Linked DNA regions of Elephas maximus indicus. The protein of the gene in region 2 purifies or fractionates together with the protein of the main gene of each other region. This does not show direct contact. Links are inferred from orthologs where the notes say so. Each region holds a gene or a part of one and is shown on either strand. Other genes may lie near its edges.

What was found.
Region 1: the proteins of DDX20 (region 2) and GEMIN5 purify together in Homo sapiens (affinity purification with western blotting; 6 studies listed by BioGRID and IntAct, counting the BioPlex papers as one, with this or other methods). This does not show direct contact. The link is inferred for Elephas maximus indicus from reciprocal best matches to the Homo sapiens genes DDX20 and GEMIN5.
Region 3: the proteins of DDX20 (region 2) and STRAP purify together in Homo sapiens (affinity purification with mass spectrometry; 3 studies listed by BioGRID and IntAct, counting the BioPlex papers as one, with this or other methods). This does not show direct contact. The link is inferred for Elephas maximus indicus from reciprocal best matches to the Homo sapiens genes DDX20 and STRAP.

The regions. Positions count from the first base shown.
Region 1 is NC_064820.1:171,079,147-171,089,335, reverse strand, and holds the start of GEMIN5 (gem-associated protein 5), read left to right. Parts: upstream 1-5,599; 5' UTR 5,600-5,678; coding exon 5,679-5,844; intron 5,845-6,654; coding exon 6,655-6,815; intron 6,816-8,172; coding exon 8,173-8,354; intron 8,355-10,189. Other genes in the region: MRPL22 (39S ribosomal protein L22, mitochondrial), read right to left, coding at 3,492-3,540, 3,623-3,650. UniProt on the Homo sapiens protein: The SMN complex catalyzes the assembly of small nuclear ribonucleoproteins (snRNPs), the building blocks of the spliceosome, and thereby plays an important role in the splicing of cellular pre-mRNAs.
Region 2 is NC_064821.1:169,129,096-169,139,348, reverse strand, and holds the start of DDX20 (probable ATP-dependent RNA helicase DDX20), read left to right. Parts: upstream 1-5,685; 5' UTR 5,686-5,864; coding exon 5,865-6,165; intron 6,166-6,614; coding exon 6,615-6,709; intron 6,710-8,692; coding exon 8,693-8,861; intron 8,862-9,445; coding exon 9,446-9,560; intron 9,561-9,670; coding exon 9,671-9,813; intron 9,814-9,971; coding exon 9,972-10,110; intron 10,111-10,211; coding exon 10,212-10,253.
Region 3 is NC_064822.1:74,615,709-74,626,892, forward strand, and holds the start of STRAP (serine-threonine kinase receptor-associated protein), read left to right. Parts: upstream 1-6,678; 5' UTR 6,679-6,981; coding exon 6,982-7,093; intron 7,094-7,786; coding exon 7,787-7,922; intron 7,923-11,184. UniProt on the Homo sapiens protein: The SMN complex catalyzes the assembly of small nuclear ribonucleoproteins (snRNPs), the building blocks of the spliceosome, and thereby plays an important role in the splicing of cellular pre-mRNAs.

The DNA.
Region 1 (10,189 bases), on a different chromosome or scaffold from region 2:
GAGAATTTAAGCAAATTGCTCAAGGCCACATTTGTTCCCGGCAGAGTCAGGGCTGAAATTCAATTCTATCTTCCGCTGTTGCTGTTGTCAGGTACCATCGAGTTGGTTCTGACTCCGCGACCTTATGTATAATACAACAAAATGTTGCCTGGCCCTCTGCCATCCTCACAATCGTTGTTATGCTTCAGCCACCGTGTCAATTCATCTCATTGAGGGTCTTCCTCTTTCGCTGACCTCTTCCAAGCACGATGTCCTTCTGCAGACCAGTATTTATTCAAATATATCAAACTGTCCTCATCATTTTTTCACTAAACAGCTAATTCATGACATTTCCAACATGGCTTTTCTTGTGGAGAATTTTAACCTAAGTACAAATTGGTCATTAAAACCCATTGCTGTTGAGTTGATTCTGACTCATAGTGATCTTACAGGACAGAGTAGATGCCCCACAGGGCTTCCAAGGAGCGGCTGGTGGATTCAAACTACTGACCTTTTGGTTAGCAGCCAAACGCGACTATTTTGCCACCAGGGCCCCAAATTAGTCATTAGCACCTTCAAACTTTTACCGTAGCCATTCTACTTCTAAACCACCAAAATGTACTCTCTTACTCCTAAACATACTCTCCTTACTCCTAAAATCACCTCTCCTAAAACCACTCCTCTGACAAACCCCTTCTGGGCCCATCACTCCATCCATTCCATGATTGATAAACCACTACTTAAAGACAGAAAATTTCTGTTCCGATCCTAGACCCCGCCATGTTTTAACTGTGTAACCTTCAGTAAGTCACAAACTTCTCCAATGCATCCATCGGTAAAATATGAGACTTGGCATTCAAAGGTTGAAAATTGTCGGTCTCGTACCAAATATAGCCTGCAGAAAAGTTTTATTTGGTCAGTGGCATTTTTTCTTAACCCAATTCAATGTCTTTAGGTGAGGAATGCCCCCTGACTGCCACGGGCCCTCCACTCCCTCTATTTTACACTGACTACTTTTCCTAGTTCACTCATTTATGCTGTCTGGCCCCTCTACACAATTGCATTTCCAGTCACTGAATTAGATGATCTCTAAGATTTTACATGGTCAATCAAAGATTCTGTAGAAGAATCCTGATCAAAAGGGGGAAAATGTAGAACAGAATTTCAAACTCTGATGGACTCCAGACTTTCTGGAGCCATGAAGGCTGAATAAACCCCTCAAACTACTGCCCTGAGATAATCGTTAAACCTTAAACCAAAAATATTCCCTGAAGTCTTCTTAAAACTAAACAATAGTTCAGCTTAACTAGTAAAGAATGTCTGCCTTGAGCATTATGCTCTTTTAAGAACCACCTATATGAAGTCAAACAGACAAGAGCAACTTGAAAGATAAGATAGAAACCTTTGGGGCTGTGAGTTTATGTTAATGGGAGAGAAACTCGAAAAATGAGGGTGAGAATGGTTGTACAACTCTGAGAATGTAATCAGTGTAACTGAATGGTACACATAGAAACTGTTGAATTGGTGTATGTTTTGCTGTGTATATTCTCAACAACAACAAAATAAATTTTTTTTTAAAGATTTCACATTGTTATTATGAGCATTATTTATAGTTTTCATGCTAAGTTTTCGTATGGTCATAGCCTGTCTTCCCCATTAAAAAGTCGAGAATGGGGACTCATAAAATTATATACATTGAGAACTGGAAAGAGCCTTAGAAATTATCGAGTGTCATATCTGCTAGATAATTAAACAAGAGTGTCAGATTTGCTATTGTTTAGGTGACACGGATGAAAAGATTAAAGCCAAACTGCTTAAGTTACTTGCCCAGAATTTCCTAGTAAGTCAGTGCCAAACCAAACCAAACCCCTTACTGTCAAGTTGATTCTGACTCTTCAGGACATAGCACAGTTTGGAACCCATAGGGTTTCGAAAGGCTGTAATCTTTATGGAAGCAAGCTGCCACATCTTTCTCCCCCAGAGCAACTGGTGGGTTCAAACCACCAACTTTCGGTTAGCAGTTGAGCACTTTAACCACTGCTCCACCAGGGCTCCTCAAAAGTCAGTGCAAGGCAACTTAAATCAACAAACATTAACAAAATATCTACTTTGTGCAAGATCCCGTGTTGGTCCCTACTTCTTTAGGACACACAAGCTAGTAAAGGGCATGGATACATATACATAAGGCCACTATGCATGGTACACACACTAAGTGGAAGGAGAAATCAGTATCTTTCCATTTTAATCAGATCTGAAAACACCTCCTGAATGGGAAACATCTGAACAGGGGTTTAAATAATGAGTAAAACTGCAGTTATTAACAAGAATGGAGGACACAGCATGAACAAAGCCAAGAAGCAAATGAATGCACAGCATAGTCAGAAAAAGTAAGTAAATCAGCGTGGCTGGGGGCAGAACAATAGAATATAACGTAAGAAAGCAAAGTGCAGACAAAGCCTAAGGGCCGGCACTTTCTACATCCTTCTTTAGCCCACCTCTTCATCCCCCTGACCCAAGAACCTAAGACACAGCTAAATAAGAACTCAATAATAATTTGTAGTGATAAAAACAATGATGGCAGTTGAGATTTAAGGTGGGCTTATTTACATGTCATGCATTGTGCTAAACACTTCATATGCATTATCTCATTTAAGTCTCACAAAAATTCTATGAGGTAGGTATTAATAAAGCTTAGAAATAAGTAAATTTTCCAAAATCAGTTAAAAAGTGGATTCACAACAATCTGTCTCCGAAGCCTATGAACTAAGCTACTTACTATAAAATAAATGCTAACAAATATATTGATCTGAAACTTATAATCAGATTATCTATCTCCAAATAACAAAAGATATACTGCAGAAAAGAGATAATGAAAAGGGGAAGGGAAAGAACTCTTGCCAGTCCTGACTCAATTACATTTCCTAATCTTAAAAAATGCTTTTGTCCTAAAGCCAAAGAATGCTTTGGAGAATATAGTTTAAAGCGTCACAATTTCCTATAAGTGGATGACTTTGAGCAAATTATTTCACATTTGGGGGTTTCAATTTCCTTGTTTAAAAAAATGGCAATCACCAGTACTCGTTATTACTATGAAAATCGTACGCGATAATGTCACATAAAGTCTTTAGCCTATGTCAAACACAAGATAAACTACGGCTAAAACACGGTCTTTCTCCATGTAAGCAACTAAATAGAGAAGTAACTAAAAAAGTTGAACAGTTCCACATGGAGGTGGAAAAGTCTAACCGCGTCCAGAAAGGCCAGAGGATGCTGTCCAGAAAAGACATTTGCAGTGGTCCTTGAAATAAAAAGAGAGTAATGGATAATTCTGATACCTGCAGGGCTAAGAGATACGCCCGCGGGAAAATGGGGTGACAAAGCAGGGATTCTAGCTGTCTTGTTCGACTCTGTAGCCCCAGAACCTAAGCCTGGCACATACGAGCTCAGTAATTGAATCATAGAATAGAATGGAGGCCTCGGACACTTCTGCAACGCCGAGGCGAGACACTTACCCCAAGGCGAGCTTGCCCTGGCTCCTCAGATTCTGCATCCATAACGCACCTGCAACACCAACACAATCCGTAAATTCAGACTCCCATCTCAGCTCCCTTCCTCTGCCTACTAACCACCAAAAAACCCTTACCCAACTGCTGCAGCACTGCGGCCGCCATCTTTCTCCGTCTCTCTACGGAAGCCTCCGAGTCCACACGCCGCCAGGACTAGCACATGCGCAATACTCTGGGTTTCCTCTGCGGAGATCCAGCGTACCTACAGCCGCGGTGTTGTCATGGAGACCGCGAACACGCTGCTGTTGCCTAAACGGTGTTTAGGCCAACCGTGCTTGAGAACGAATGACTTAATAAAGGCCGAAAACCAGTGAGTTTCCATAAATTCGCAGAAACCCAGAAAATTTGGGAAGCCTCACCTCACAAATGAAAGGATTAGGGAAACGGTCCATGAATAAGTCACCTAACCCGTGTGGGCCTCAGTTTTCTCGTCAGTAAAATATAGTCAGAAATAGCTATCCCTACGACACAAGCTTGTTGTAAAGATCACTAGAGATGGTATGAATGCACTTTTAAAAGAGCAAGCCATTCAAATACGAAGTATGATGTCCTTATCCCTGTGAATCTCCAAGTTGACCACCAAGAGATACCCATGAAATTTTATTGCCATCGAGTTGATTCTGACTCATAGCGACTCTGTACGACAGAGGAGAACTGCCCCGCAGGGTTTCCAAGGAGCAGTTGATGGATTTGAACTGCCGACCTTTTGGTTAGCAGCCAAGCTCTTAACCTCTGTGCCATCAAGGCTCCGACCAAGGGATGAGTTAATATTTCATCGAGCATTTATTACCATATATGCTCCTGGGAAACTCTATGGGGCAGTTCTACTCTGTCCTACAGGGTCGCTATGAGTCGGAATCAACTCGACGGCCCTGGGGTTTTTTTGTGGGTATGCTCACCAGGCACTGCACTAAATCTCGTTTATTCCGAACATCAGTTCAAGTTATGGATTATCATCTTCTCTGCTCATATGAAGAAACTGATTTAGGATGGGTTCAGGGTGGGTTAACTTCTTTCCACTAACAACTGGCAAAACCAGTGGACAATCTATGGCTGGGTGCCTACAAAGTTAGTGACCCTATTCACATCTTTGTGTATGTGTGCCCTCTCCATATTAAGGATAGATATTTTCAGCTTTCAGTTTGCTAGTATACATAAGTGCAGATTTCCAACGCAAACAAGCAAGACGAGTTTAAGTGTAAAATCTGAGCATTTTTGCATGTTTTGAGTTGGAAAGGAATTTTCACTCTTTTTTCTCCACAGTACTTAACACATAGTTCCCTTCTCAGAGTTGGCACTCAATCAAGTGAATCAAGAGTCACTCCATTCTGCTTCTCTTTAATCTTTGAAAACCAAAAACCCAGAGCCAGGATTTCCACCTAGCTGCAGAAACTGTTCCTTCCCCCCTTTTTTTATTTTTTTACTATTTCTCCTTTTATCTTTTTTTGCTAATTGGCATCTTGTATATACCAGTTGCTGCCAAGTCAATTCAAATTTATGGCGACCGTACGTGTGTCAGATCAGAATTGTGCTCCACAGGGTTTTCAGTAGCAGATTTTTCAGTAGATTCCCAGGCTTTTTTACCAATGAACCACTGGGAGGACTCTAACCTCCAATCTTTCAGTTAGTGGCCCAGAGTGTTAACCGTTTGCACCACCCAGAGTCTTCTTGGCTTCCGCAGATTTCTTTAAAGAATCTCCAGAGCTAGCAAAATGCCCCGGTACACAGCGTTCAAAGGAAACATTTGACAGGATAGCGATTAAACAGGTCCAAAGAATGAACTCACAGTGTGAGTGGATGACTCCACCAATCTAATCCCTTAATTACGTGGTTTTGCTTTGGGGAGTAAGAATGTCTAACCCCAGGGCTAGGCTCTGGCTGAGGCTGCGTGCGGGGTTAGCACGCAAAGCGCAGCAAGCGCTGCCTCGTCCTTCGCAACCCTGAGGCGCCGGGAGCAGAGCGCTCCGTGCGGCCTGGGCCTCGGCGCGCCCCGTAGTGGCAGACCTGGGGAGGCGGGGCTCGAAGCCGGCCCCGCCCCCGCCCCGCCCCCTTCCTGGCTCCGGCGTGCCCCGAACGACCTGCGCCTCTGGCTGCGCCTCTGGCTGCTCCTCTCATCTTAGGCGGCCCGCGGACATGGGGCAAGAACCGCGGACGCTGCCTCCGTCCCCCAACTGGTACTGCGCCCGCTGCAGCGACGCCGTACCCGGGGGTCTTTTCGGCTTCGCGGCGCGGACCTCGGTCTTCCTAGTCCGCGTGGGCCCGGGCGCAGGCGCAAGCCATGGGACGCCCCCGTTTCGAGGTAACTGCCCACGTCTGGGCCCAGACCTTCTTGCCCTTCCCACTGGGCTCTCTGTGGTCGCCGAGTGGGAGTATTCGGCCGCCTCTCTTTCTACAGATAGGGAAACTGAGGCTCAGGCAGGGAGAGGAGTTTGCCCACGGTCACTCATCTGAGCTGCGTCCGAGTCTCCAAGAGTGAGCTGCACCACGCTGTGGCCCGGCGGTCCCGCCCTCCTGGCGCTCACACGTGGGACCGCTTACTTACTGGGAAATTAGCACTGTCTTGACCTGAGTTTTTATAACATTTACGCCCCCCACGCCCACTCGCGGGCCCTCTGGAAGCCTTCCTGGGATTGCGGGCTGCCTGTAACTGCAGGCCGTAAAAACGATCCTGCAAATACGTGATCCTTGTTTCTGTAAAACGAATGAGTTGAGCCAGATGCACCCAGGTTCCAAACTAGGTTTTGCTGGTGCCTTGGGATATGACCTGCCACGTATTCTATTTCAGACGGTCCCTGACCAGATCTAAATAAAAATCGCTTTTACATTCTTATGTGTGCTGCTTTTCAACCTGTGAACTAGGTACAGCAATGTATTTTGAACATTTTATAGTTGAGAAGGCACACTCAGTGAGATAAAATGATTTGTTTGAAATCACATGGCAGAGCCAACACCAGAACTTGGGGTTTCTGCTTGTGAGTGAGATCCTTTTGTTACACCATGGGCTAGGAAACTCCAAAGCATCTGCTCACTCATCAGCCAACAACAGTGTGATTCTGCCTGGAATCATGGGCAGCGCTTTCATTAACCTGCAGTCTGGTTTTGCTTGAAGTCATAGGGGAGTTGGTGGGACACACCGAAAGAGTCTCTGGCTTCACGTTTTCCCATCACCCGGGTCAATACAACCTCTGTGCCACCAGCTCTGACGATGGGACTGTGAAAATCTGGGATGTAGAGACGAAAACAGTTGTGACAGAACATGCACTCCATCAGGTACTGTGGCTTAATGATTTCTCAGACTCATTTTGTATCTGTGCTGAGGGTTCTTTCGTTTCAAGCAATTTTGTTAGCTCATTTGTACAAGGCAGTTTTTATAAATATATCCGTTATTAGATCAGAAGCTCTACAGTGTAAAGTCAGGAAACCTGGTGATGCAGTTGTTAAGCACTCAGCTGCTAACAGAAAGGTTAGAGGTTCAAACCTACCAGCTCCTGCTCCAGGGGAGAAAAGGCCTGGTGATCTGCTCCTGTAAAGGTTTCAGCCTAGGAAACCCTACGGGGCAGTTCTGCTTGCTTACATGGGGTCAGTATGAGTTAGAAGTCACTGTATAACACCCAACAAGAACATAGCGTAAGGTGCCTCTAAACTTTTTTGAAAAGCAATGCATATAAGCCAGAGATTGGTAAATTACCCCCTACCTGGTCGTAGCGACCCTGCTCTGTCCTGTAGGGTCGCTGTGAGTCGGAACCAACTCTGTGGCACCTAACAACAACAACACTGTTTCAGCACATAGTTTCATTGGAACACAGCCACACCTATTTGTTTAAGTATTGTCTTTGAGTACTTTCATGCTACAACAGCAAAATTGAGTACCCCAGGAGCCCTGGTGGAGCAGTGGTTAAGAGCTCGGCTGTTAACCAAGAGATCGATAGTTCAAATCCACTAGCCCCTCCATGGAAACCCAATGGGGCAATTCTACTCTGCCCTATAGGGTCACTATAAGTCAGAATCAACTCAACGGCAATGAGTTGTTTGCAGTAGAGATAGTATGGCCCACAGAGCCTAAAATATTTATTATCTGGCCCTTTACATTATAAGATTTGCCAATCTCTGATACAAGCTGTAAGTGAGCGAGTGAAACTGGTTTCTAAACCAAATGATTACCTGACATGCCTGTCTTTTGAGCAAACAGAGGAAAGGAAAAGACTCTCTTATTAAGAACTTTACATGTAAGCTATAAAAAGAAGAAATGGTTTTTTTAGACATGATTCTTTAGTCCCAAATAGACTACATTTTCCTATCATTTGTTAATATAGGCTTGCTATTTGGAAACCCTGGTGGTGTAGTGGTTAAGTACTACAGCTGCTGACCAAAAGGTTGGCAGTTAAATCTACCAGGCATTCCTTGGAAACTCTGTGGGGCAGCTCTACTCTGTTCTATAGGGTCACTATGAGTCAGAATCGACTCCATGGCAATGGGTTTCGTTTTGGGTTTTATATAACTAATGCTAACAAGCATTCGTTAAGTACCTATAATGTGCCTAACGTTACGCCAGTGTGTGATACAGGTTAAAAATTAAGCAAAAATTTAGCATTGGCAAATGAAAAACCAAACATTTTTTGTTTTATAGCATACAATATCAGCATTGCATTGGTCTCCTCGAGTAAAGGACTTGATAGTATCTGGGGATGAAAAAGGGGTCATTTTCTGTTACTGGCTTAACAGAAATGACAGCCAGCACCTCTTTACTGAACCCAGGACAATTTTCTGTCTTACTTGTTCACCTCATCATGAAGATTTAGTAGCCATTGGGTGAGTACTGTACCACCTGTATTGATAATTTATTTTTGTTCATGGTAATATGTTACATTTACTTTACCTTCTCCCATTTCTCCTCATTCAGGGAGATAATTTACAAGGAGATGATTTAGCTGCTCCCGTGAGCCCTTGGCATCATTTCTTCCTGTGATCTCCAGGTCCTTACTGTCTCTTCCACTCCCTCTCTTTGTTTCTGTTCCCTTGGTTTACATGATACTGTACTTTGCTCATTCTTCATATCTGACCCTCTGTCAGCCTCTATTTGTAGGAAATGTCCTCTTTGACCTTTTTCCTTCCTCTGTACTTGCCCTTGGATATAACGTTTACTCCCAAAGTGTCAGATAACTCGATCTGTCTCTCTAGTTCTGAATTCTCCTTCTAGCTTGGATAAGTGACTAGCATTGGGACCTGTCTCCCCGTTGGTCACCCGGTTTGTTTCATGTAGTAGGCAGGGGTCAGAGGTCGAGAAGCTTGCATCAGGCTGAGCCTTGAAAGAACAGCAATTCCTTTCCTTCCCCATTCCACATACTTCTCTCCCAAAGATGTCCATTCACTCAACTTTGAAGACTTGACATGAACAATTTCACTAGCCTTTTGGTACAAAAAGTCTGATCGGAGTGAGTTTAAAACACTGGGGGTAAGGTAGTAGAGATAAACATGGAGATAACTTTTCACAAAGTTTGCGGAGAAAATGTGCATAGACATAAAGCCAGAGGAAGTATATGGGGTATTAGATGGAAGATACCAAGGGCATGTCTTCATGCTGATGGAAGTGAGGCAAAAGAGAGAGAGCTTGTTGCAGAAGTAAGAGGTGGTAAATGCCAAGAGGGAAACTGTTAGGAAGTTACAAGGATTGAACCCAAGTCCCAAGTACAAAGAACAGCTGAGAATGTGGATCAGGTGCAAGTAGGTTTTTAGATTTGGTAGGAAGCCTTGAGAGTTTGTTCCACTGTGATGGCTTCTGATGTTCTCAGCAAGGCATAAGTCAGTGATGAAGCCAGTCAGGTTATGGGTGGGAAGAAGATATGAAAACAGTTTTCTCAGAGAATGAGAATGTGAACTTATTAGGGAAAATCGTAGGTCCTGTGGTCACTGTTGAGTACCAAGCTTAAAGATCAGGGTCATAAACTGAAACTGCTCAAGCTGGTTGAAAAAGAACGTGGTTTAATTCAACCAGGTTCGGGGTTTTATGGGGTATAATACCCCCAGGGGAGAGGAGACAAGGGACCTAAGGGTGTTTTCAAAGGAGCAATTATAATGATGGATCCTGGGATCTGTGCTGCATCAGAGGAAGGATGGGAGGACAGATGAGGGTGGGCAGTAGTGAAAATGTCAAGAGTGGTAGATCTGAGGTCTCCATGAAGTGGAAGGATTGGTACAGTAGGGATATTAGAGAGAGTGAGCAGAAAGGGTAGTAGGCAGGGATCAGAGGATGAGAAGCTTGAAATCAGGCTGAGCCTTAAAAGAGCAGCAGTTCATAAGAAGAGAAGGAACTTCAAGGCAGAGGGAACCTTGGAGACTTGAACAGAATGGTTTGTTTTCAGAGGATCTTCATTACAGTGGTTATTTCCTGAAGGCTTGACTGAAATTGCTAGACAGTTTGAGCTAGACTCAGGTTTCCTCCTACCTTGGTTTATAAGGTCTGTATCTTCAGAGATCAGTATGGTTTATGATTTCATTATGTTGAAAAAAAGTTAAGCTGTAATGGCATTTTTTTTTTTTTTTTTTTTTTTTCCCGTAGAGTAGTTTATTATGTAGGAAACAAAGAGGTGCAATCATTTTGGAGAGCAGCTTTGCACTTTTAGTAAAGCAGACGTGTACATACCTTA
Region 2 (10,253 bases):
CCTGAATGTGCTATGACCTTCCTCATCTACAGACCCCCCACTTTTCCCTCTCTTGTCACAAGGCTAGTAGGAGTCCGTGGGTGGTGCAAATGGTTAAGTGCCCAGCTACTAACTGAAAGGCTAGTGTTTCAAATCCGCCCAGAGGTGCCTCGGAAGGAAAGCCTGGTGATCTGCTTCCAAAAGGTCACAGCCTTGAAAGCCCTGTGGAACAGTTCTATTCTGCACACATGGGGTTGCCATTGAGTTGATTTCAACTCAACAGCAACTTCTTTTTTTTTTTTGGTCAGGAGGTTGACTCCTATTTATTTTTATGTCTTACCTTAGCTCTCACTAATGCTGGGAAGATGTGGCAGAGACTGTTAGTTGTCCCCAATGTCCTTTCCTTTCTTGTATGTAATAGAACTCCCTGTTTTCCCCTGTTTAGCTGGGCATGGACAACCCAGAAAAATGATGGCAATTCCCAGATTTTCTTGCCCGTAGGCATGACTCTGTGGCTAAGTTCTGGCAATGAGATGCCAAGTAGGAGTGTAGCAGCTTTTTGGTCCCTTCCTTAGGAGACTGCTGGCATGATGGTCTCTCTGCTTTTGATTTTGACCCTTCCTTCTTTGTGATGACTGGAAACCAGACAGGGAGCTAGAGCAATCATGTGGGAACCAGGGAAGTGGAAACTGGGTCCTTGGGAACTTTGTGGACCAGAGCTGTTATATCAATCCTACCTCCAGATCTCTCTACAAGGACAAAATAAATTCTATCTTGGTCAAGCCACTGTCATTCTGAGGTCTTATTTTCCTTCAGACCTAGTCTTGACTGCTAAACCCTTCTTGGCCCCCTTCTGGGTTAAGTGGCCCTCTTTGACTTCAGCGGCCCCCTACACTTTGCAGTGAATGTAACCACCTGTTTGTGTGCGTCTTTCTCCTTGAGGCCAAGCACTCTTTTTATTTGGTTCTATTTTTGTATCTCCAGCACTTGGGTGATTCCCTTTAGGCATTCAGAAGAATTTTGTTGAAAGAATGAATAAAGTGATGCTTGTGGATTGAATGCGGATAACAATTGCCTCCTTTTTGTTGCTTTGAGGGTCATATGAGATAAAGTGAATGTCTAACTATAGTTTCATTTTCTTCTTTCTACATGCCCCCACTGATCCTCATGCCCAGGGTGGCCCCCTTACATCCACTACATTGTTTTCCTTCCCTCTGGGCTCAGCAGCCTTTGCTGCAAAATGACTGGACATGACCATTTGAACCCCAACATTCATTCTGAGCTCAAGTCTCACTCTTACTTCTTCAGTTCACAGGGATCTCTCCTTCCACTGGCCTCCGCTGACTTGAAGGGGAGTAGGAGCTCCTGGATATATAAAGTGGGCGAGGCTTTCCAGGTAGACGGAGCAGCACCAAGGTTCTGAGCTGTGACAAGCCATGAGCATTAAGGAATTGATGTAGTTTGGTCTGTTTGGAGGAGGTAGGTGGGCTTCCTGGCCCGAAAAGAGGCTGAGGTCTGATTGGACTTTATCTTGTGGGTGCTGAGATGCAGACATAGTCCACACTAGTGTTCAGTTTCCATGTGTTTTTCTCTTACACCTTTCCTAGTTATTAAGTGATCTCTCTTTGTTTTATCTTTACAGCCCTGAAATTGTGGTCAACAATATTGTTATTCTTTTTAACCATTGAGGGAAAAATTTTATTGATTTGTGTTTTTAGCCATAGCAATAAAATGTACTCCCAATAACATTACTGCAATATTCGTGTCAGTAAAACACCATAAATAACAAATGCAATAAGAGAATGCCTATAAAACTATGAATGCCCTTTTCTGGAAAAGTAGTATTTTTGTTTCTCTCGGGATGAGAGCCAGGTTCTTTGACAGTGATTGGTCCAAGTTCTGTAGAACTGCTGCTGTGCACATGGGGACCCGGTAGAGACTTTTTGAGCAAGAAAGTGTCAGCCATGCAATATTTATTAGGTTTACCAGGTGCCTCATACTGGGCTGGAGAGAGCCTAGGGTGACAACATTCCTGTCATTGAGAAGATCATAGTTTAGTAGGAGGGACAGGCATGTAAACAAGTAAATACAATATGGTAAGAGCTGGACAAGAATTATTTACAGTGTGAGGTGGGAGCCTGGGGTGGGGAATAAATAAGGGTGTCAAAAGAAGCAAGGCCTGAAGCTGGTTTAAAGCAACCAAGGATAATCTATTTAAGAAAGCTCATTCCAGCAGATGCGGGTGGATGGCCAAGATAGAGAAGAAATTCTGGCAGGAGACCATTCAGGAGGTTATTGCAATAGTTCAGGATGGTGAAGGGGCCTAAAACACGGCAGATGCTACGGGGACTGGAGAAGAGGAATGGAAGAAATATTTGGAGCCATAATTACCTCCAGTCAGTGAATTGTTACAAAGAGGGGAGGGATAGTAGAAGGTGTGACTTGGAGGATTAGGTGGCTGAAAAAGGTGGGGGTCCTAATAGGATGCCTGGGGGTTTAATGCACCCCTCATCATCAGTTCTCCTTCTTTCCTATGGACAGTTGACATTTTCTCAAGGTTTTGTAAATTTCTAAGCAGGACTCCTTTCCAGTGGGATTACCATGCCGAAGAGGCACATTGTTTGGAATCTGGAACCACTGTGTATGTGTGTGTGTGTGTGTGTGTGTTTGTCTGTGTGTGTAAGTGGGAGATAATGACCAGGATTATGATCTAAGGACAAAGGAAAAGTTTGGTGTTGGACGCAGAATAGCTTTAAGTTCGAAATTGTAAGATAGGTTTTCAGAAAATAAGTTTGGAATTGTGACTAAGTCTTTGTTATAGGCACTCATTCTCTCAATAAATATTTATTGAGTACTTACTATGTGTCGGATTCTCTTTTTCCCACTAGGGATAGACCAGAGAACCAGACAAAAAAGCTTCCTGTCCTCATGAAGTAGGGGAGACAGAAAATACATAAATATATAAATACATTGAAAAGACAGGAAAGAAAGAAGAGACTGAGATGGATGTCAAAGGAGACTCTGAAACTTGTTCTTGAGTGTCAAGCAGCTAAAGCAAAAGGAAGAATGGATGAAGTGAAAGAACTGAAGATTTCAAAGGGCATCTTGAGAAGACAAAATAAAGTATTATAATGACGTGTGCAAAGAGCTGGAGATGGAAAACCAAAAGGTAAGAACACGCTTGGTGTTTCTCAAGCTGAAAGAACTGAAGAAAAAATTCAAGCCTCAAGTTGCAATAGTGAAGGATTCCATGGGGAAAATATTAAATGATGCAGGAAGCATCAAAAGAAGATGGAAGGAATACCGAGTCATTATACCAAAAAGAATTAGTCGATGTTCAACCATTTCAAGAGGTGGCATATGATCAGGAACCGATGGTACTGAAGGAAGAAGTCCAAGCTGCTCTGAAGGCATTGGCGAAAAACAAGGCTCCAGGAATTGATGGAATATCAGTTGAGATGTTTCAACAAATGGATGCAGTGCTGAAGGTGCTCAGTCGTCTATGCCAAGAAATATGGAAGACAGCTTCCTGGCCAACTGACTGGAAGAGATCCATATTCATGCCTATTCCCGAGAAAGGTGATCCAACTGAATGTGGAAATTATAGAACAACATCATTAATATCACATGCAAGTAAAATTTTGCTGAAGGTCATTCAAAAACGTCTGCGGCAGTATATCGACGGGGAACTGCCAGAAGTTTAGGCCGGTTTCGGAAGAGGATGTGGAACCAGGGATATCATTGCTGATGTCAGATGGATCCTGGCTGAAAGCAGAGAATACCAGAAGGATGTTTACCTGTGTTTTATTGACTATGTAAAGGCATTGACTGTGTGGGTCATAACAAACTGTGGACAACATTGGGAAGAATGGGAATTCCAGAACGCTTAATTGTGCTCGTGAGGAACCTTTACATAGATCAAGAGGCAGTTGTTTAGACAGAACAAGGGGATACGGATTGGTTTAAAGTCAGGCAAGGTGTGCGTCAGGGTTATATTCTTCCACCATACCTATTTAATCTGTATGCTGAGCAAATAATACCAGAAGTTGGAGTATATGAAGAAGAACAGGGCATCGGGATTGGAGGAAGACTCATTAACAACCTGCCTTATGCAGATGACACAACCTTGCTTGCTCAAAGTGAAGAGGACTTGAAGCACTTACTAATGAAGATCAAGGACCACAGCCTTCAGTATGGATTGCACCTCAACATAAAGAAAACAAAAATCCTCACAACTGGACCAATGAGCAACATCATGATAGACAGAGAAAAGATTGAACTTGTCAAGGATTTCATTTTACTTGGATCCACAATCAACAGCCATGGAAGCAGCAGTCAAGAATCAAAAGACGCATTGCATTGGGTAAATCTGGTGCAAAGGACCTCTTTAAAGTGTTGAAGAGCAAAGATGTCACCCTGAAAACAAAGGTGTGCCTGACCCAAGCCATGGTATTTTCAATCACATTATATGCATGTGAAAGCTGGACAATGAGTAAGGAAGACCGAAGAAGAATTGATGCCTTTGAATTGTGGTGTTGGCGAAGAACATTGAATATACCATGGACTGCCAAAAGAATGAATAAATCTGTCTCAAAAGAAGTACAGCCAGAATGCTCCTTAGAAGCAAGGATGGCGAGACTGTGTCTTACACACTTCGGACATGTTGTCAGGAGGGATCAGTCCCTGGAGAAGGACATCATGCTTGGCAGAGTACAGGATCAGCAGAAGAGAGGAAGACCCTCAAAGAGGTGGATTGACACAGTGGGTTCAACAATGAACTCAAGCATAAGAACGACTGTAAGGATGGCTCAGGACAGGGCAGTGTTTCATTTTGTTGTGCATAGGGTCACTATGAGTCAGAACCAACTTGACGCCACCTAACAACAACAATAATACAATTATATATAATACGTCCTATAAAAAATTAGAGCAGAACAAGGGAATATAGTGACGGAAAAGGCAGGGGTGGGGGACTTCTTTGAAAAGGTGGTATTTGAGCAGAGACCTAAATTAAAGAAAGCCATAAAGACCGCTAGTTGCCCACTCATGACGGAGGAGCAAGACATACAAAGAAAACATGTTAAATTTGAGATGCCTAGAATTGACTCCACGGCAACCAGGTACTAGACATCTAAAGTAGAAATGTTGATGAGGCAGATGGATGAAAATATAAGACGAGTTTAGAGAGAGGTTTGAGGTTTGGCAATTGTCAGGGTCATCAATTCAATATTCAATTCCAGCTCCTGGTTCCAATTCAATTTCCTTTATTAGAGTTCACCACGTGCCAGGTACCGTGTCAGGAGCTGGGGACCCAAGGATGAACAAAGCCATTCTGCAGGCAGACATACACCATAAAAAAAAAAAAAATCCCGAAGTCTTGTTAAACCTCGAGCGCTCTCTGCGAACACAGAGAAAACAGCGAGTTGGGAGGGCTCGGGAAAAGATGACGGCGGAGCGGGATTCAGGCTGACCGAACAGCCAGCGGAGGCTCAGAGGCGGCGAGGTGTGACGCACCGGACGCATCACAAAGACAGGGCTGTGCGGGTGGCTGCACTCGGTCGGGACTGGGCGGACCCACCCAGAAGAAGCCGGGAGGAGGGACGGCGCCCCCACCGTGAGCACGTGGCGCCCTCTGCAGGCCGAAGGCAGCGACACACCGGTAGCCTCATCTTCTCTCTCCTCTCACTTCCCGCCTTCCTCAGGCCACATTTTTCTGTTGTCGTTCCTGAGTCTTTCCCAGCCTCCGGCTTCCATCCCTCCTCTTCTGTCCAAGGCCGGGCGTGTTACTGTCGTCACTGGAAGACTGCCAATAACGTTTTCTCTTTCCTCGCTCTCATGCTCCCCGCCTCTTCTCAAGTACCGCGAGATTTGGTGGCGCGTGTACCATGGCGGCGGCGCTTGAGGCCCCTGCGGCCTCGGCTCCCGTGGAGACGGCTTTACCGGAGGAGCGTGTGACCGCGCCTGTCCCGGCTCCGGAGCCCGCCCCCGGGCCGGCGCGCAGCCTGCGGACGGCTCACGACATCGGCGGCCCGCGGACCCGCACAGGGGACGTGCTGCTGGCTGAGCCGGCGGATTTCGAGTCGTTGCTGCTGTCGCGGCCGGTGCTGGAGGGCCTGCGGGCGGCCGGCTTCGAGCGGCCCTCCCCGGTGCAGCTCAAGGCCATCCCGCTGGGGCGCTGCGGTCTCGGTGAGGGCGGGGGCCCAGGGGAGGCCGGACGGGGCCGAGGAGGGGGGCCCGAGGGGCGGCAGCAGCTGGGCCCGCGGCGAGGACCGGGAAGGAGCACCAGGTCGGCCGCCTGGGCAGGGCTCGGCCTTGGGCTAGGTGCCGCACGCCTTCGAGCCTCAGTTTCCCCTTTTGTAAAACAAAAGGGGAGATTTTGCATTTGAAGATAGCTAGAGCCCTTTCCAGCGCTGGCTCGTGATTCTGAGCTTGAGAGGCTAAACAGTGGTAGAGGTTCAGACACACCTGGGATGGCTCTGAATATGGCCTCGTGCATTTTTGATGGTAAACTGAAAATGGCAGGTCCCAGCTAGGTTATCTGTGGAGACCCTTTCCAGTTCTCCCATTTCATGTTGGTATCTAAGCTCCTTCAGTTAGTACTTGCTGGTGACAATTTGTTGATTTTTCCTTCTCAGATTTAATTGTTCAAGCTAAGTCAGGCACTGGGAAAACCTGTGTATTCTCCACCATTGCTTTGGACTCTCTTGTTCTTGAAAACTTAAGTACCCAGGTGAGTTTAGCTCCGAGGACTCAGATGAATGATTGAGTTAAACCGTATGTAAATTATGAAAGTAAAGGAGACGTTAAGGCTGCTGAGTGGTGCTGGTGTGGATGGTTACCAAGGATACCTTATTGGTCTTTGAAGTTTGGAATATTATTACCACATCATAAACAGAGTAAGCCAACCATGAGTGTCGGTTTTGACGTGACATAAGACTACAGACAAGGATTCATTGTTCTTTTACTTGCTGACTAGATTGCAGCAAGGCGAGACTTAGCGTTTGATTTGATTCATGGTGATGTGATGCTCTGGCTATAATTGGTGGTAACGCCAGGTGGTTCTTAAAGATCTGTGAATCTATCATCTTGATCTCCCATCTTCTGGATTTTCTTAGAATAGTTCTAAGACCGCTTTACTCAAATTAACAGACAATTCAGGCTTGGCATGGAGGTGCGGTCATTTCTTCAACAAAGATTTGTTGAGCCCATAGTATGTATAAACAGTATGTCAGGCACTGGGGATACAAAGGTGCAGCAGATGGCATCCTTAGTTTGTGGCATAGCAGTTATGACAGACTTTATTTCATATTTTCAGTTATGTATATCTGAGGATGATGATCCTTTAATACGGTTGTTTTTAACCAGGGATACTCATATATACATTATCCGGGAAGCTTTTTGAGTCTTACCTTTTACCTACTGAATCCTGGTTGATGCTACTCATAGGAAATCCTTCTACTACCCAATGACCTGGGCTTTTCTACTTGTGGACTAAGGTGTATTTGCCATTTTGGCTGCTGAAAGTGAGCACTCTGGCAGCAGGTTAAGTGTCAAAACTGTGCATAATTTCCATAAATAAGATTCTTTTTTAAAATTTAAGGTCTTTGTATTATCAAAATTATATAACATAATTTTTTGCATCAAAGCTATACATGGGCATTTATGGAAAGTTGGGAAAATTTAGCAGAAATACCAGGAAACAAAATGTATAATCTCACCTACCCAGAGAGAAACTGCTGTTAACAGTTTTGGCATATTTTCTTCTAGTCCTTTTTATTTGTAAGCATTTTTTTCCTTCTCATAATTGAGAACATGTAATTTAACCTTCTCCTTTTTCAGTAGTTATATGGCAGAGTTTTCACCGTGGCTCACAAAACCTTTCATGATCTAGCCCCCTGGAGCTAGATCTCTGTCGTCCGCTCCATTTCCCCCAATTCTGTCCAGCCACATGGCCTCCTTGCCATTTTACAAACACACCAAGAACACTCTCATCTTTAGGCCTTTGCATTTGCTGCCCTGTTCCTGAAAACTCTTGCTCAGGTGTCACACAGCCAGCTCTACTCTGCTGTATATTCACATCTCTGCTCAAATGTCAGCTTCAGAGAGGGGGCTTCCTTGACTACTCCATGAAAATGACTCCATCCCTTTTGCTGTTGGATTTTTCTTCGTAGCACTTTTTATTACCTGCCATTATTTATATATGTTTATTATATACCATCTTATCATACTAGAATGAAAGTATCATGAGGTCAAGGGCTTTATACTGTTAACTGTGATCTCCTAGCAATTAGTATGTTGGATGGTACAAACAGTTTTTGCCTGGCTGCTAATCTAAAGGTTGATGGTTCAAACCCACCTAGTGGTGCCGCAGACCAGAGGCCTGGTGATCTGCTTCCATAACGATTACAGCCAAGAAAACCTTATGAAGCACTTCTACTCTAGAACACGTACGTGAGGTTACCATAAGTAGGAATTGACTTGACGGCAACGGGTTTGGCTTTTTTGCATCAGTATGTCATCTAGCACTTAGTGGGTTCTCATTTAATATTTGCTGAATGAATATGTAAATGGATGAATGGAATGTTTTCCTTTGCCAGTAAAAACTCAATCATCATTTTAAATGGTTATGTAGTAGTTTGTCATATAATTAATGTGCCAGTCATATGTATTTATTCCCTGACTTGTTAAAGGTATATTTTATGTTTTTTTTTAGATTTTGATTTTGGCTCCTACAAGAGAAATTGCTGTACAGATACATTCTGTTATCATGGCCATTGGAATCAAAATGGAAGGCTTAGAGTGTCATGTCTTTATTGGAGGCACTCCATTATCACAAGACAAAACCAGACTTAAAAAGTGTCACATTGCCGTTGGATCTCCTGGTGAGATGTCAAAGCCTGTTGATATCTGGGGCTTTTAAAGAACTGAACATTTTTAATATAACAGTAAGGATATGGGAGTCTTGATGACTGTGATCATTATTTTGGGATTACATTTGAAGAGCATTAGACCGATGAGATACAGACACATGGCTGGATTACCAATAGCATTTATGAAATCTTCCCTACAGATATTTAAGAACATAAGGGGTAGGTTTCTGAGGAGAGGAGGGATGAGGTACCCTCCAGGAGGCTCTTCTAAGCCTTGGATTCGGATTATCGTTTGACTTCTTTATTAACCATTCGATTGTGGATTACTCAGAATCTAGCATTCAGTACCTTAGCATTCAGGTCTTGGCAGGATGGTGTTACTTTTCCATGCATATTAGTGATGAAATGGGAGGAAAAATAAATGGATTGAGGCAAGATCAGAACTTAAGATTTCAAATTCGTGTGTAAATGCATTTATGAGATTTGGGTCAGGAAATTTTAGCAGTACAGCCTGAATGGATTAACAGATTTGGCTAAGATTTACGCCAGTTTGATGCATCATAAATATTTCCACGTGTGTTTTTTCTGAAATTTAGGCAGAATTAAACAACTCATAGAACTTGAGTACCTGCACCCAGCCAGTGTACGTCTTTTTATTCTTGATGAAGCAGATAAACTTTTAGAAGAAGGCAGCTTTCAGGAGCAAATAAAGTAAGAAAAATGACTATTAAAGTGGCACTCCAAAGTTACCTATCTTGAACTTTTCCATGTGGTGATTACGGTTTGAATAATTTCAGTGGTGTTTTTCTTCTATTTTCCAGTTGGATTTATTCTTCTTTGCCTGCTAGTAAGCAGATGTTGGCAGTATCAGCCACTTACCCTGAATTTTTGGCTAATGCTTTGACAAAGTACATGAGAGATCCCACTTTTGTAAGACTAAATTCCAGTGATCCGAGTCTCATAGGTGTGTACAGATTTTGGATACTTAAATTATTGATTTGTCATTCATAATATTCTGGAGCTTTCCCTTGCCCAGTTGGCTACGACTGTTTCATATTTGCTATGAGGATAATATGTATAATTTCTGTTTGTTTTAACTGAAGTCTTTTGACTTCTTTGTAGGTTTGAAGCAGTATTACAAACTTGTTACTTCATACCCTTTGGCCCATAAGATTTTTGAGGAAAAGGCTCAACATTTACAGGAACTGTTCAGCAGAATTCCATTTAATCAAGCCTTAGTCTTTTCTAATTTGCACAGTAGGTAATGTAATTTTAAAGGTCATCTGGGTAACTTGTGAACTAAAAGGTTAGGTGTGGGCTTGTAATTATTTATAAAATTATAACCCTTTCTGTTTCTTACAGAGCACAACATTTGGCTGATATCCTTTCTTCGAAAGGCTTTCC
Region 3 (11,184 bases), on a different chromosome or scaffold from region 2:
CCTAGCAGTGAAGTGGTTAAGAGCTATGGCTGCTAACCAAAAGGTTAGTTTGGATCCACCAGCTGCTCCTTGGAAAGCCTATGGGGCAGTTCTACTCTGTCCTGTAGGGTTGCTCTAAGTCGGAACTGACTCCACAACACCTAACAATGACAACAACAACATGATTTTTATAAGGCAGGATTAGAGAAGGTTATGTTAATGTGGGAGGACTCAATCTACAAGATTATGTTGTATCTTAAGTTAATATCTTTTGAGATATAAAAGGAACAATCAAGCAGAGAGAGAGGGACCTCATGCCACCAAGAAAGAAGTGCTGGGAGTGGAACATGTCCTTTATGGGGTCCCTGTGCGGAGAAGCTCCTCAACTGGGGGAAGATTGATGATACAGAACTGACACAGAGAGAAAGCATTCCCGGGGAGCTGGCGCCCTGAATTCAGACTTCCACCTTCCTAGACTGTGAGAGAATAAATTTCTCTTTGTTGAAGCCATCCACTGTGGTATTTCTGTTATAGCAGTACTAGATAACCAAGACAAGTATTCTGAGTTTATTTTAAGGGATTTATTTTTTTTTTTAATGGAGGCACCCTGGTGGCGCAGTGATTAAGAGATCTGGCTGCTAACCAAATGGTCAGCGGTTTGAACCTATCAGCTACTCCTTGGAAGAAAGATGCGGCAGTCTCCTTCTATAAAGATTACAGCCCTGGAACCCTCATGAGGCAATTCTACTCTGCCTATAGGGTTGCTATGAGTCAGAATTAAACTCAATGGCAGTTGGTTCTGGATCACTGAAAATGATATACACGTTTTATTTCTAATAATTATTTGATTTTCTCAGTCTCTTAGAATAAAATAGCTTAGTTCAATTTTCATTTTGGACTATTAATTTCTCTCCTCCAAAAGAGTGGTAGTGTTCTCCAGTAAGGAGGATTACAACATTCACCAGGCATTAAAGAAAAAAAGTACTGAATCCATCTGAAACTTAATAAGACTTAAAACAATGTGTTAATTATTCCTTGAGAAAATTTAGAAATGTATTAATTTAAATGAACTATGATGGAATAAGCATTCAAATCTAATATAACTCCTGAATAGAATATAAAGAAAATAGTTTGGAAAGTACTGAAATGTTCTTGTGGAGGGACAACAGGTTATTTTTTATTTATTCTAAATCTTAGAGCACATTTCTCAGGCATATTGCATCAAATACCACTCACCAGACAGATTTGAAGTAAATATCCAAAGACAGAGGATATTAACTATAGTTTAAAGTACTCAAGATTTAACAGAAAGTTAAGTTCCCATAGCCCAACTCTACTGCCACCCAAATATTAATATCTTCAGAGGTATTTATCCTGATATTGACAGAGGTTTTTCAGAACCCATTCAAAATTTACAGAACTGGTTATTTTCTTGATGCCTGCAAGGCTCATGAATGGGATACTTCTTAGCCACATGCCCTTAAGGTTTAGGAAGGAAGACACATCCATCCATTCATTTGTTCATGTGATTCACACATGCTATACTTCTTAGCACATGTGCTTAAAGTACGGAAAGAGAGGAATGGTATAGCTATATTCATTCAGAAGGAGCCCTGGTGGTGCAGCATTTAAGTGCTTGGTTGCTGTCATGGATTGAATTGAGTCCCCCAAAATATGTATGAGGTTGGTTAGGCCATGATTTCCAGTATGGAGTAGTTGGCCCACATTTTGTAATTTTCCTAAGTGTTATAAATCATAAGCTTTGCCTGTGGTTAAAGAGGATTAGGATGGAATGTAACACCCTTGCTCAGGTCACATCCCTGATCCAATGTAAAGGGAGTTTCCCTGGGGTGTGGCCTGTACCACCTTTTATCTTAGATAAAAGGAAAGGGAAGAAAGCAGAGAGTTGGGGGACCACATACCACCAGGAGGGCAGGGCTGGGAGCATAGTGTGTCCTTTGGACCTGGGATTCCTGCTTGGAGAAGCTCCTAGGCCAGGGGGAGATTGATGGAAATGACCTTCCTCCAGAGCCAACAGAGAAAGAAGGCCTTCCCCTGGAGCTGACACCCTGAGTTTGGACTTCTAGCCCACTGGAGTGTGAGAGAATGGGCTTCGGTTTGTTGAAGACATCCATTTGTGGTATTTCTGTTGTGGCAGCACTAGATAACTAAGACAGCTGCAAAAAGAGAGTTTGCTGGTTCGAACCTACCGGTCACTCCTCCACATGAGAAAGATGTGGCAGCCTGCTTCCATGAAGATTACGGCCTTAGAAACCCTATAGGGCAGTTCTATTCCATCCTGAAGGGTCGCTATGAGTCAGGTATATTCATTCATATGGTTAGTTCATTCATGTCAAAAGATCATTGCTGTCATGGAGGTCACATATTTCTTGTGGAAGGCAGAAAGTAGTAATTGAATAAATAACGAAGTAACTATTAAGTAATGTAAAGCGTTATACAAATAAAACAGGCTCATGTGATAAGAGACTGGCAGGCTACCTTTGAATGTGCTTGAGGAGGTGACATTTGAAATGAGGTCTAAAAAACAAGAAGGAACCAGTCCTATCTGGAGAAGTAACATTTCCTACAGGAGGAACAACAAAAGCAAAGACCCCAAAGCAGGAACAAACTTGGTGCAAAGAACTGAGTAAGGCCAGTGTGGCAGGAGTATATCAAGCTTCAAAAAGAGAGGTAGGAAATGATGTTTATTGGCTGTTTGTATTTCTGTCATTTGTTCAGCACCCGCCTGTTCAACCCCTTGGACTATTTCTCTATTGACTGGTTTGGGTATTTAAAAAAAAAAAAAGTGAAAGTCTAACCTAGTCTGAGAGGGGGAAGGTACAGAGAAGACTTTTCCTGAAAACAAGCAAACAAAACGTTGTTGAGTCAATTCCGACTCACAGTGGCCCACAGGACACAGCAGAACTGCTCCATAGGGTTTCCAAGGAGTGGCTGGTGGATATGAACTGCTGACCTTTCGGTTAGCAGCCCGAGCTCTTAACCACTGTGCCACCAGGGTTCCAACTTTTCTGAGAAAGTGACATTTAAAGGAGACAATGAGACATAATCAATCAAGTGAAGAATAAGGGATCCAGACAAGATCACCTTGTGTTGGGAAAATATTGGGCAAGTTCGAGGGACAGAAAGATGGGAAAAATAGGCAAAGGTGAGTGACAGAAGACAATGATGAATATTATCAGGACCTTACAGCCAGTATTTTGGACTTTATCCTTAGGGCAATTGAGAGCAAGAGATGACAGGATTAAATTTATTTTTTAAAAAGATAGCTCCAGCTGCTGCTTAGAGAATGAATTGAACAGGAATGACAGCAGACCCAGAAAACCAGTTAGGAGGTTATTATGTAATTTAGGACAAAGATAATGGATGGTTTGTATAAATTGGTGACGGTGAAGAATTTGGTACACTGGATTAATTAAATGTGCTTTACCAGTTGCCACTGAGTCTACACTAACTCATGGCGACCGCATGTGTGTCAGAGTAGAACTGTGCTCCATAGCGTTTTCAGTGGCTGATTTCTTGGAAGTAGATTGCCAGGCATTTCCTCTGAGGTGCCTCTGGGTGGACTTGAACCTTCAACCTTTCAGTTAGCATCCATGCATGTTAACTCTTTGTACCACCCAAAATTCCAAATGTGGTTAAAAAAAAAATGATCCAACTTAATTTTTTTTTAATTACTAGCCCATTGTCATATTAGCATATATCCCTGACTTAAAATTCCACACTTCGCATTTACTAAATTTCTAGATGAACTTTTGTCTGTTTATAGTCTCCACACTCACTGACCTGTGCATTTACTCCTGAGCCACTCCCATGTCTTATTATTATATATTGGTATTATTTAGCTATACATGTTTCTGTCCAAAAAGACTAATCGCCACAGAAAATTCCTTGCTACTTTTGTGACCCTAACACCTTGCAATATGTTTTCTCCTTTTCAAAATGGGCGATTGAGAGCCTGACGTAACTAACACGATGATATTCTAAGTAACCTATAAGTTTTTTTTTTTTTTACTGCACCAGCTGCCCTGGTCTCTTTCCAAAGCAATGCAAGGCTTTCTCAGCTCTTGCAGCCTTAGTCTCCCTCCTCTTCTTTGTCCTCTTGGGAGATGGCCTTCAGCCTGCAAGACTGCAGCTAGGAAGGCTGCCTGGTACTTTTGGTCTGCAACTTTCTTTCTTGCTCCTTATCTTGGTCAGCCTAAACTTGGCAGGCCAGTTCCACTAGTGGAGAGATTTTTTTATGTTTTTTTTTTTTTGCCTGTTACAAACATACAGATTAGAGTCCAGATGTCCCACATACATATCTTAATAAAGAGTTTCTTGTAGTTGTGATGTATACTCAACCAACCATCTGTGGGCTACGTGCTTGAGAACATTATGTAATCCTTACAAAAACTGTATTTAAGCTCTGATGTAAAAACTGCTTTTTGGGACTCCATAAAGGCAGCCTGCATTGCTGCCGGACTCCCCACTGATGTCACCTCCTAATAATCTTTCTTTTTCTGACCTGGAGAACCCTTCACTGGTTTGATTGCTCCCAGGCATGGACCCCAATCAGGTAACACTTTCGTAAATTTATTCTTTCTGAATAACTTTGTATCATTTAATTAAAAGAAAAAAAAATTATCTTCTGTTAATGGAGGAATAGCTCCTAACAGACTACCTCCTGCAGGAAACAATTATAAACTCAGGACAAAGTATAAAAACAATACTTGAAGGCACTGAACAGCAACTAAAAGCAGGCAGACCCTAAAGCAGAACGTACCTTTGGAAGAAGAAAAGGGCGCTGGGTAATTTTCACATTTTTATGACTTTTGGCCTGCGGTCAGGCCTCAGTACATTGCCAAACATAATGGTTGAAAGTCAGAAAACCTTCACTATTATTGGTTTAATGAATCAGAGGACTGAGTTCAAGGGGATCACAGAAGTTAGGTAGAGAAGAGGCAAATCCTGGAAAAGAGATTTTCAGAGGAAGGGTGCTCAAAATACTGTGTATAAACGCTGCCCAACTTTCGGATTACCCCTGCATGCATGGTGCAGACATCAAACAGCCAGCTAAGGCTAAAAGGCTTTATAAAAGATTTCTGCTGCTGCCCACTGCTGAAATGACAGAGTTTGGAGTTTCTTGCTAAAAAAATATACAGTGAGATAAATACTTTTAATAGGATCATAACCGAATCAAGAGTCTCAACATACAATTCACAATGCCCAGCTGGGCACCCATATTCTCAGAAAGATAAGGAGACCCTGAGTGGGCCAAAAAGAGACTCAGGCATAGCTGGCTAGTTTCATTTGCCTTTTTTAACTGAGTTATATCTTTTCCTCCACACTCTTAAGAGGTAAAATATATAGCATTATTGTCTTAATCAGGGTTCCCTTTTTCCATTTTCATTGACTCTTTGGAGTCTATTCTCTTACTGCTTCAGATATGTATAATGATTTTTTTTTTCTTTTAACTTCTGTTACTTTTCTTAACTCTGCCGACTGAGTTTGCATCTCCATTTTTTTCACATCATGTTTTTTGGTCTCTTGCTCTAAAGAGTTCATGTTCTGTTAAATTTTTTAAGAGTGTAGAGAAATTTTTACCTAAACATTTTATGTTTTTTTCCAGCAATTTTCTGTCATACATTTGTTTCCCTTCTTCTACTTAAAAATAACAAAATTTTCTATGCAAAGATCCTGTACCACTTTTAAATTATGGCCACTCTATTAGTCTGTCATTTGTGCAAGAACAGTGTAAGTATATTCTCTTCGATTCTTCTCCCTATTTTATTGCGCATTATTTTGGTTATATCCTTAGATACACAAAAGAATATACGTTTGTATCTAAGACATTGAGAATGGTTTTCCCTTCCTCTACTGACAATTTTCCAAAAACTGCTCATTTTGTTTTTGTTGTTACCGCTGCTGAACAGTGATCCCCAAAGTGAGCTGCCTGCAGGAAGACAATACCAGCCTTTTTTTATATTTAGTTTTTAGATTCTTTTATTAACTTCTATTTTCGTCTATTATAATGTATACTTAAGAAATTTATAAATTATTATATACGTATTTACAGGGCTCATGGTATTTCATCAAGCAAGTTTGGGGACTACTGCTCTACAGTCCAAGTCCAAATTTGAATTCAACTGTATTTAAAGCCACATAACATTCCTATCTAAAACACTAGCAATACAAGAAAGTCACACTGCAGAAGGCATCGCTGAGGAAATTACTTTTTTAAAGAGGCTTACTTGTAGACAACGCTTTGAGAAGCTTTCCACGTAGTTTTAAATAAGAAAAATTAAAAAAAAAAAGACGGTATTTGCTGGTTTTGCCTATTATTGGGAACAGCTCCGATCTGTCCAGTTGTTTGGATGCAAAAGCACAGTCCCACTGGTTGGATTAGTCGGTGCGTAATCCACAGCTGCCTCCGGGTCCCAGGTCTGCGGGCAGGGAGAACAGTTCGGAGACCCAACGAATTCTCGTTGGGACAGCAACGCAATTCCTAGCAAAGGCGCTCTAGGCAAGTCCGGACCGGGCGCTAGAGACACTGGCTGGGAGACCTCCGCGGGTCGGCATCACGTGCTCAGCGTACACTGAACCCTTGCCTTCCTTAGGCCTCTTCCACCTCGCGTACCCGCTTTCTTGCTGGGCCGTCACTTCCGGCGGACGCTTTGCGCCATTCCTGTCGTCACTTCCTGCTGCTACCGGTGTGGACGGTGCGGGTCGTGGCCGGCGGATACTCCGGTTCCCCCCCTCCCCTTTTTTCCTCCCTCCCTCCCTGTCCCTCCCTCGGGAACAGTCGCTCGCCGGTTGCGTTCTCCATGCCGCCTCCCTAATCCCCGCCTGACTTCGGTACAACCGGTTTGGCCTTCTTTTCCTGTTTCCCGGCCCAGTCTCAGTGCCAGGCCGGGGGCCTTGAGGAGCCAGAGGCGCCGCAGCTGAGGAGAGAAAAGACGAGACCCTCGGCTGACCAGCCCAACCGCTCAGCGCGCCGCCGCCATGGCATTGAGGCAGACACCGCTCACCTGCTCGGGCCACACGCGACCGGTGGTTGATTTGGCCTTCAGCGGCATCACGCCTTATGGCTATTTCTTAATCAGCGCTTGCAAAGGTGAGCAAGGCCGCTGATTTCGGGTACTCGACGGCCAGAACTGGGCGGTTACCCCCCAGTGCCGAAAGGGTCGCGGGGAGCACAGCCTTTGAGGTGAGGGCTAAGCCTGGACTGATGGGGAAACCGAAACACCCATTTCTGACGCCTCTTTTTGGGCTAAATATTGCTCCCGACTAAGGTCTCTCATTTTATTTTATTTTATTTGCTGTTTCTGGAGAAGCTAGACTGTACACTTGCCTAGTCGCCCCTGGAGCAAGCACTGTAAATATTTTTAGAAGTTTTGGGGAGAGGAGAAACTAGGCCAGGCTGTTCGTTACTAGGCCAAGTCGAGCAATACCTTATATTTATATTTCTCAAAGGTTTTCGCTCCAGTTATCTCATTGGATATTCCTGTATGGTATTAGCCCCATTTTTGAGATAGGAAACTGAGATTTAGGTTAAGAAGTTTGTCCAGAATATATAATAAAATTTAGATTGTTTTGACGCAGATCTGTATTCTTCCCACAGAATTACAGTTGCTTCCCAGAGAGAACTACCAGCTCTCCTCTTCAGTTAATTTATTTCTAGACATTCCTTAGTGACTCCAGTGAGTGGGTTTTCCATGTTGCTATTCAACGTCGTTATTATGTTTTGACTATTAGATTCTAAGTAACTTCAACTTGTAAATCACATGTCTTTTAAAATGTCTTCTAGATGGTAAACCTATGCTACGCCAGGGAGATACAGGAGACTGGATTGGAACATTTTTGGGTCATAAGGGTGCTGTTTGGGGTGCAACATTGAATAAGGATGCCACCAAAGCAGCTACAGCAGCTGCAGATTTCACAGCGTAAGTGTAGCCAAAGTAACAGTCTTTGGACTTCTCTGTGGATTGTGTTCTGAAATAATCAAAAAGTTCATCCTCGTTTGTTTAGCAAATTCCGACTTAGTGCCTGTCATATTGAACGTATAATGTTGTGGATCACACCAAAATTCCATCCTTGAGTCTTTTTTTCTTTACATTAATGATTCTCAACATTTTTAGAGGCTTAAGTGTCTTATTTTATGTCTGGATTGGGACTCAGAAATTTGCGTTATTAAGAAGCACTCCAGATAATGAATATTGGTGGTCTTGGTTTAGAAATGCTGCTCCACATGTGCTCCTTGAGTATCATCTGCTCCTATGTCTTCTACATGCTGGTGACCCCAGGTTTTTAGCCCTGCTTTTACTCTCAGCCTCAGTTTTTCTATGCTTTTGGACGTTTTTGAAACTCATTATGTTCCAAACAGAACTTCTTTTATTTCCTAGGTTTTTTAAGGTTGAGATCTAAATAATTCTTGATTCTCCCTTAACATCCACGTCCTGGTTATCATCTTCTTTGTTGATTCTGCCTGGAGAGTGTCTCCAGACTACAGTGTTTCTCCATGCTTCTGCCAGTCCCTTTAGTTCAGGGCCATTTTTAACTCCCACTAGCCTCTCTCTCCTAGCTCATGTTCCATACTCCTGCCAGTTGTCTTCCTAAAAACAAATGTTACGTCACTTCTCTACCTAATGAGCTCTTCTGTCTTTCCATTTGTCTACTTCAGTGGTTCATGACTTTGGCTATACATTAGAATAACCTGGGGAGTTTTAAAAATAATCAAATATGCCTGGGTTCCAGAAATCCTGACTTAATTGGCATGGGTGAACCAATTGTCTTTGTTTAGATCACTTACAGAACATTGTGGACTAAATAGAATCACATGTTTGAAGACATCTGTGGCTGGGTATTCAGAGTTGTTCTGTGTTGTCTATCAGAATGTCTCAGTGTCTCTGTTATAAGAGGTATTAAGAGCATGGACTCTGGAGCCAGATTGACTCGATTTGAATGCAGTTGTTATTGGTTTATAGCTCTGTAACCTTGGGTACTTTATTTAATCTCTTTTTCAATTTTATCATGTGTAAAAAACAAGAATAATAGTACTTAGTTCTCAGTTTAGCTATGAATATTAAAGGAGTTACTATGTATAAAATACTTAGCACATTGCCTGAAATGTAATAATAGCTACTCTGTAAGTGTTGCATATGTAAGGTAACAGTGACAGCTACCACCACCACTGTTAATTACCACCCCCACAAGACCAAAATTGTATACTACAGTGTATGGCTGGTTTCATGCAAGGAAGTTTAAGATTTAGGTGTCAAGAATTTTTTTTTTTTTTCCAGTGAAGGCTTTTAGATGTGATATAGTGGGAAGAGCCCTGGTGGTGCGGTGGTTAAAGCGCTGAGCTGCAAAACAAAAGGTCGGTGGTTTGAACCCACCAGCTGCTCTGAGGCAGAAAGATGTGGCAATCTGCTTCTATAAATTTACAGCCTTGGAAAAACCCTACAGGGCAGTTCTACTCTGTCCTGCAGGGTCGCTGTGAGTTGGAATCCATTCGCTATGAGTCAGAGTAAGTACACCGATGGGTACATTGTCCCAGAAACACCATCCTCTTTATCTCTTTTAATTTATAAAGTTGTAATTATTTTGCATCATCTCTCTCTGCATCTCCAATTTTCCTCCTATCAAAATTATCTGGGGAGTGTGCCTATGCTGTGGTCCAGATAGTGGTTAAGTAGATCTGGGGTAGGGCCCAGGAGCCTACATGTAATACAAATTTTTTATCACTTTTTCTTTCTTTTAAAAGCCGATAGAAAGACCTAACTTTTCTCTTAATAAGATTATTGATAAATCAGAAATGATATTATACTCTTCTTAATGACTAACCAACTTGCTAGGATGGTTAGGCAAGCTCCCCACCCCCAGAAATACAATAATTTGTTTTGTCAGTACTTTAAATGGTTAAGCTAAGCAGTTATTTTTTTGAAACTTGTGGTGAGTCCATTCTTACCACTGCCATCGAGTTGATTCCAATACATAGCGACCCTATAGGACAGAGTGGAACTGCCCCATAGGGTTTCTAAGGCTGTAAATCTTTACAGAAGCAGACTGCCACGTATTTCTCCCACGGAGCGGCTTAGGTTCGAACCACCAACCTTTTGGTTGGCAGCCAAGAGCTTTAACCATTTTGTCACCATTCTTAGGAGATGAAAAGTGTTGAAAGGACAATGTTCATATTACGTTTAAGAAACTGGGAATATAAGAGGCATCAGTAGTTTATGAAGATGCCAAGTACTTTGAGTTGTGCAGAAAATGAATGCTGTAGGATTAGCTGATAAAAAGATATTGATGCCTCACTGTCTTGCTTTGAGCCCTGAGCTAGTTAATGTCAGTCACCTGCCTGTTGATTGAATAATATATTAGAAAACTTGTAGATTATTCCAAATTTAAGCTCTTTTTAGTATTCTTTTTGTGGATTGTGGGTTTTATTGTGAATAATGAAAATATGCCAGAATTAGTCCATGTGATTAGAATATGTTCTCTCAGACAATGTCATGCTACAAAGTTGAGTTGGGAATGGGAGAGAGCAGAACAGGTTTCCTGTGCAAGGAAGAAATGAAAGCTTGGGAGTTTAATAGCAGTGCTACTCATGGTTGACATTATTTCCCTCAAAGCATATTTATTCAGCTTCTCATGACACAAGTGTATAATATGTAAGGTTTGTTGTCAGTAATATGAGCGTGAATAGTGCCCGACTTATGATGGGGTTCAGTTCCAATACTCCTTCATAAGTGGGTTCTTATCTAAGTTGATTACCTTGTTTTTTTTTTAGTTTTTATTATTATTTTTATTAATATCTTTGTAAATCTGATCTTTGCCTTTGAGGTGGGAAACATTACATATAAAGTTACAAATACAATCTGCAACATTGTATGTAGTACATATTACTAACAATAAGAGGTACAAAAACGAGGATAAGTAGGGGACTACCTGTGTTTATTCCTGTTAGATGGCTTTTTATATTTCTTTACCATTGTGCATACTATTAATACTTGTGTATAATAGCCTTTCCCTTTTTCCCCGGTGAAATTCTGTCCTATAGAATCACTATGATTAGAATTAACTGGTGACACACAACAATAACAAAAATCCAGTGAGGTTTTTTTGGACTTCCCAGGCATAAACAGTGCTTTGTTTCCTATGAACGTGTATGCTTTTGTCTTAATTACCCCTGCTGGCACAGTGGTT